Drosophila melanogaster: one gene and its partner. The protein of the gene in region 1 purifies or fractionates together with the protein of each later gene. This does not show direct contact. Each region holds a gene or a part of one and is shown in the gene's direction. Other genes may lie near its edges. The genes, in order: alphaTry and CG1532.

Region 1 (3,344 bases):
CGCAGATCATGGAGCTCTTGATCTGGTTTCCGTAGCCATAGGAGGAAGAAGAGCACCGGCTCTGGCTGACGATGTTCACGTTGACATAACGCAGCTGGGAGGGAATGGAGCTGGAGCCAGAGGACTCGGTACCCCATCCGGAGACGGAGGCAGCAGCACCGTTGGCGGGGTTGGAGCTAGCCAGACCGATGGCCTTGATGGTGGAGCTGAAGCTCAGAGAGGAGCTCAGATGGAGCACAGCGATGTCGTTGACCATGGTGTTGGCGTTGTAACCCTCGTGGTTCTTGAAAGAGGAAACCTTGGCGACGACGCCACCAGAGCTCCAGTAGCTGGATCCGGCGCGGATCTGCAGGGAGGAGGCGGACACGGACTGCAGGCAGTGAGCGGCGGTCACGATCACCCTGGCGGAGTAGATGGATCCACCGCAGGAGTGGCTGCCACTGCGCTGCAGGGAGATCTGCCAGGGGAAGCTGCTGATGGTGGTAGCAGTACCGCCGACAATGCGGCCATCCAACTGGGGCAGGAGACCCTCGGGGATGGTGCCTCCCAGGGCGCAGGCTACAGCCGACAACAGGATCAGGAACTTCAGCATGGTGCGATTGAATGGATACTCTTCGAACCGAAAAGTGTGCTTATATCGGGGGTCACTATCTCGGGAGGCGTTTAATCAATGGACAAGTGAGATTCCTCGTGGTTAAAGTGGATAACGATGTGGAGTGGTCGTCGTGTGATAAGCTGATTATTTCTAAATATCACCGCCTATATCGATGGTGAAAATGACGCAACAATTATGCTGAAGTTGCAGCTGTCAATCAAGTGGAGATATTTGCCGCGGGGACTGTATAAAAGGGGTTTTGATCCGCGAATCAGCATACAAACGATTAAAATGTTGAAATTCGCGGTACTTCTTTCCGTTTTGGCCTGCGCCTTGGCTGGCACCATTCCCGATGGCCTGCTGCCCCAGTTGGATGGTCGTATCGTCGGTGGTTATGAGACCAGCATCGACGCCCATCCCTACCAGGTGTCCTTGCAGCGCTATGGATCACACTTCTGCGGTGGATCCATCTACTCCCACGACATTGTGATCACCGCCGCTCACTGCCTGCAGTCGATTGAGGCCAAGGACCTGAAGATTCGTGTGGGCAGCACCTACTGGCGCTCCGGCGGCAGTGTCCACTCCGTTCGCTCCTTCCGCAACCACGAGGGCTACAACTCCCGCACCATGGTCAACGACATTGCTATTATTCGCATCGAGTCCGATCTGAGCTTCCGCTCCAGCATTCGCGAGATCCGTATTGCCGACTCCAACCCTCGTGAGGGCGCCACCGCCGTGGTTTCCGGCTGGGGCACCACCGAGTCCGGTGGCAGCACCATTCCCGATCATCTGCTGGCCGTTGATCTGGAGATCATCGATGTGTCGCGTTGCCGCTCGGATGAGTTCGGATACGGAAAGAAGATCAAGGACACCATGCTCTGCGCCTACGCCCCACACAAGGATGCCTGCCAGGGTGACTCCGGTGGCCCACTTGTCTCCGGAGACCGCCTTGTCGGTGTTGTGTCCTGGGGCTATGGATGCGGTGATGTGAGGTATCCCGGTGTCTACGCCGACGTTGCCCACTTCCACGAGTGGATCGAGAGGACCGCCGAGGAGGTGTAAAGCCAGACAAACACTTGAAATAAATCGCAATTGAATCAGCATTGATATCTGTTTCTCTATTTGGGCCCAATTGCGTCGCAGGTGTAAAGCCCTCGAAATTGCGGCTAGATAAGAATTGTAGCGTGGGCTGTATATAAGGTTGGACGGGCGGCATGTAAGCCAGCACTTGTTAGCAACGCCCATCATGTTGAAGATCGTGATCCTCTTGTCCGCCGTGGTCTGCGCCCTGGGAGGCACCGTCCCTGAGGGACTCCTGCCTCAGTTGGATGGCCGCATTGTCGGCGGCTCTGCTACCACCATCAGCAGCTTCCCCTGGCAGATCTCCCTGCAGCGCAGTGGCAGCCACTCCTGCGGTGGATCCATCTACTCTGCCAACATCATTGTGACCGCCGCTCACTGTCTGCAGTCCGTGTCCGCTTCAGTCCTGCAGGTCCGTGCTGGATCCACCTACTGGAGCTCTGGTGGCGTCGTCGCCAAGGTTTCCTCTTTCAAGAACCACGAGGGATACAACGCTAACACCATGGTCAACGACATCGCTGTCATCCGTCTGAGCTCTTCCCTGAGCTTCAGCTCAAGCATCAAGGCTATTAGCCTGGCCACTTACAACCCAGCTAACGGAGCCTCTGCCGCCGTTTCCGGTTGGGGTACCCAGTCGTCCGGATCCAGCTCCATCCCCTCCCAGCTGCAGTACGTGAACGTGAACATCGTTAGCCAGAGCCAGTGTGCTTCCTCCACCTACGGATACGGTAGCCAGATCCGCAACACCATGATCTGCGCTGCTGCCAGCGGCAAGGATGCCTGCCAGGGTGACTCCGGTGGCCCACTGGTCTCCGGCGGAGTCCTCGTCGGTGTTGTCTCCTGGGGATACGGATGCGCTTACTCCAACTACCCCGGTGTCTATGCCGATGTTGCTGTCCTCCGCTCTTGGGTGGTGAGCACTGCTAACAGCATCTAAGCTGGTACCCAGTAGGTTGGATGTGTCAAAAGCCTTCAATAAATATTTGCCATTCAGAACATAGATGATTTGTATTTGGTCTGGGTACTTTAACATAAGAGGGTTTACAAAATATACAGAAAGCTTTTGTATTTACTTCTATGTAGTTTAAGTTAGTGGTTAAGCCTAAAGAATAAAGTAGTGGAAGTTGAATGTATTACACATACCACTTATTACACCTTTCGTATTAACAATAGGGAAACAGTTCTCGAGGTTGCCCGCGTCACAGGTCTTATCTTTTGTAGGGTTCACGGGTATTCACATAAAGTAAGATAATTCAACGCACCTTCTGTGATTTTCACCGATTTCAATGGGCTCGAGTGGCTAAAGGTAAACATTTGTCCAGGACCAATCTAATCAACTTCGAGTGCATCGCGTGGCTAGGGTTCCAATTCATCTTCCATTGATAAGTTGAGTGATGGTCTGGACAGCTGTGGCAAGATTAATTAGCCGGAAAAAAATGAATAGATAAGATTGCACAGATTTGGACACTCGAAGTTGAACGTTTTGGTGAACCGTGACTGGTGAAATACTGGACGGTGTGAATAGATGGTAGGAATGGATTGTCTTCTGTTCTTTTTCTTATATTTGTGAATTAAACGCAACAACAATTGCAAAGAATAAACAATTTGCCATATTTTTTAACCGATAATGCTGTTTATAAAAAGTTCCATTATCAATTCCATAATAAAG
Region 2 (3,926 bases), on another chromosome or scaffold:
CAGACAAGCCAGCGGCCAAATGAGTGTCAACAAGGTCAAGAGTCCTACGATCCGGAACCGGATCCGCTGGAGGCAAGTCAGTGCAAGCTAGAGCAGGAAGATGCACTCGATCCGGAATGGCAGCACAAAATAGAGCAGGACGCAGAATCGCAAGACTCGGCGCGACTGGAAGGGCATTTCCATGACTACAAACCTATCCCTTCGAAAGCCTTATGATCAACTATAACCTATCCATATACGTCCGGTTACATACATCAGGTTAGCGCCCCTTGAGCAAAAATCTTTGATTTGAGATATTTAGAAAACTGTTAAAGCTAGAGTTTTGAAAATTGCTTTTCATTCAAACGTTGAACAATTCTATAAATGTAAAATTTATATAGGATGCAGTTTCTTGTTTATAGATTTTTATTTAAGTAAAAAAAAAATCCATAAATGGGTTAATTAAAATTGGGTTATCAGGATAACGCCCCCTAAGATAATTTAAGTTGGTTCGATTCATTTCGAAAGAAATTGGGATGATTAACACTTAAATATTTAAATTAGAATATTTTTAAAGGAAATTATGGACTTCACACATTCGTCTGGAAAGGGAATCATATATTTTTTTTGTAGGTAATCCAAAGTAATCGCAGACCAATCGAGTTTTATTCCGGTGAACGATTCGTTTTGAGTGGCATATTGTTTACCACCCTCGTATACCTTCCTAGCCAACCATACCCACACGTTATCTATTATATAGTAGTAGTATGGTGGTAGTAGTATGGAATCCATGTTTTTGCCAAACGTGCAGTGTGGATTGAGACACTGTCAATTTGAAAATGTCATTCTAAATTTCCAAAAACGTTTCTAAAGTAGGGAAATGCAGTTTTGAATTATAATCTTTTGCGTTCATTTTTGGTGTTTAAAACTGCAATTTACCTATAACCCGACTGTGACAGCGATCCAAAATGTACGCAAATCATAATAGTAATGAAAAAAGCCGTCTGGTTTCTCCAGATTAAATTTCTTCTTGTCCGAAAATACGACGCCACTCCTTAGACCAAGTCAAATGAGCTCGAGCAAAACTCAGACCCGCTTTTTTTCGCAACTTATTGAGAGGTGGTTTTATTTTCAGTTTTTCGTGTTTTATGTTTAGCTGTCTTAATCACCATTTGAATCAAAGATTTGATCTGGTTTTCAACACTTTTTCTCGAATTTTGGCGGAGAAGTCGTGGGAATTGGGAGGTATTCGAAGTATGGACCTGCGATCTGCCGCGGTAAAGACAAGGTTATTGCCACCATTATTTTTTTTTTCCATAAGTTTCGTTCTTTTGAATAAAGTTTATTATAGGGTTGCGACATCTGGCGGGTTTTCTGAAATTTTATGATTATGAGCATTAATAGAATGCTATGATATTGTATATTTCCTGCAGGGATAACAGGGTTCCTCTTAAAGCAAACTTTTCAATTCAACAGCATAACAAATTTTGTTGTCCTTACCTTAGGACCTTTTTTTTATCCTCAAGGAGAGAGGGAATGTCAGTGAACAAAAAACAACAACATTGATGAATTTTCGTGCAATGGCAAAACCAGAAAATAAAAATGAACGGAGCCATGCAGGGGGCGCTAATCTGATGACGCGTAGTGTATATCCAATGAACTATCATGCAAATGTGGCTAGGACGCATTAGCGAAAATTTTTAAATATCTTACTTTCACGACATTTTATCCTTGCTACTACAATGTATTAAATAGTTTTATATGTTCGCTTACTTCGTATTTTATACGTTTTATATGCTCGCTTACTCCATATTTTAAGTGCCTAATAAAACTGTTGACGATAATTGCTTTTCATGGAAGGACTTTTGTGACAACATTTTGGATATACTCTTTTTTTAAAGTGTATTTGTCAAGTGTAAAATTTTGTGTCACAAAAGGTAAATTCCGATATTCGTTTTTTGAAGGTGCGATAGTCATTAGTTTTTTCCTCGTAGATGTCAATCAGCAAAAAGCGCACTTTATAATTTAAAACTTACAGTGTATTTAAATTTATTATTATTTAGTCTAAACTAAAAAATATCGATACTTCCAAAAGCTCCCGTCGCTGGGAATATTTGCTGTTCTGCGCACGGCCACACTGAAACGGAATGTACATAAACAAGGCCGAAATTCGATCGGAAAGCACTTGCTGAATAAACGCCAGCTGATAAACACAAAGATGTCGGCCATATCGGGACGCGCCCTGCACTATGTGTTCAAAATCGGAGATCGGGCGAAAAACGCCTTCTTCTTTCGGCAAATCTTGGGAATGACGGTAAGCTGGGTGTGGCGGGCGTATCGCCAGAAATCGGCAGACTTCCTTATCGCAGGCTGTTGTGTCTGGCTGTAGTTTTATCTGGACAACGTGTCAACGACGCGCGGCTGCTAATTAAAAAGCCCAGATGCCCGATAATGTCATATAATGACTGTGTTAAAATTTCATTTTTCTCTCATCGTTTTTGCTCCCTTCTATCGCCATCCCGCTCGTTCGCACGGCAACAGGTGCTGCGGCATGAGGAGTTCAAGGAGGGATGCGACGCAGCTTGCAACGGGTGAGTGCTATTTCGGAGTGTTGCGACAGGACTAACTGGTAGTGTTAATCCTTCACAGGCCCTATGACAATCGGTGGAGCAAAACAATGGTGGGTTATGGACCCGAAAGTTCGCATTTCGTCATCGAACTCACGTATAACTATGGAGTGAGCAGCTACGAAATGGGTAAGACACATACCGGATAAAAATGTTAGGCTCACATGAGGATTAAAAGTCCTGAGTGCAAGCTAACAAGCGGGAACGTTTTAACCCTTACAGCGGCTAAGTAATATCATCCTAAAATACCTATTTATTTTATCAGGCATTAAAGCGTTTTTAATAAGAATTGAGAGTTGAAAAAGTTTGAAACTTCAGTGATGGTAGGCTAAATCGCATATTTAAGCTTTGAGCAGTCATATGTACACATTTCTGGAAATTTGAAAAAATGTACAACCCTATAAATGATTACCGAGTTATAATCCAAAATATTTAATCTAACACTAGTAAAATTGGGATGGCTTATCTTAAAGTACAAATGAGTTATTCTATCTTCGACAACTTCATAATTAAGTGTTTCACTAATAATAGCTATTCGATAAGTGACTTGTCTTAAGTACGTAAAGATAGTAGGTTATTAATCTTTTTCTTTATGAATACGGAAATAGTTATCTATAAGTAGGTCGAAATCTATCAGTCATTCTAGTTAAAACCGCGATGAAGATTTCTGTCTATCACAAAATGAACTAAAAACGAAAGTATGTGAGTTGAATGTTTGAAGATGTTTGAAAAAGTACAGTACAGTAATTGAAATATACTACTTAATGATTCCCTTTGTATTAATTCCCAAGTTAATTTTAACACTTATAAATCCTGTTAATCGATACTTATTCTTTTCGATTCAGGCAATGATTTTGGGGGCGTGACCATACACTCCAAGGATATCCTTTCCCGCGCCGCCGAGCACTCGTATCCTGTGACACAGGTGTCTGGAAAAGCCGGTAGTCTGCTGACCTCGCCCGATGGCTACAAGTTCTATGTGATCGATCAGGCCTCTGCCAGCTCTGATCCTGTCCAATCGGTGGAGCTTAATGTGAGCAATCTTCAAAACTCGCGCAAATACTGGCACGATTTGCTGCAACTGAAAGTTCTCGAGGAGAACGAAGCAAGCGTGCGTTTGAGTTACGGTGAACAGCAGGCTTCACTGGAGATCACCCAGATCTCAGAGCCAATTAATAGAGCTAAGGCCTATGGACGAATCGCCTTTGCCATTCCGGCGGCCCAGCAGCCACCTCTCCAAGAAGCGGTTAAAGCAGCTGGCGGGGCCATTCTAACACCTCTGATTACCCTGGATACGCCAGGAAAGGCCACCGTTACGGT

The links.
Region 2: the proteins of alphaTry (region 1) and CG1532 purify together in Drosophila melanogaster (affinity purification with mass spectrometry, with the first as the bait; one large-scale study listed by BioGRID). This does not show direct contact.

Annotation. Positions count from the first base shown.
Region 1 is NT_033778.4:11,343,590-11,346,933, reverse strand, and holds alphaTry (alphaTrypsin), read left to right. Parts: upstream 1-1,814; 5' UTR 1,815-1,841; coding exon 1,842-2,612; 3' UTR 2,613-2,674; downstream 2,675-3,344. Other genes in the region: betaTry (betaTrypsin), read right to left, coding at 1-592; epsilonTry (epsilonTrypsin), read left to right, coding at 887-1,657.
Region 2 is NC_004354.4:21,026,547-21,030,472, reverse strand, and holds the start of CG1532 (uncharacterized protein), read left to right. Parts: upstream 1-2,111; 5' UTR 2,112-2,197; coding exon 2,198-2,293; intron 2,294-2,520; coding exon 2,521-2,570; intron 2,571-2,628; coding exon 2,629-2,735; intron 2,736-3,451; coding exon 3,452-3,926. Other genes in the region: CG1529 (uncharacterized protein), read left to right, coding at 1-216.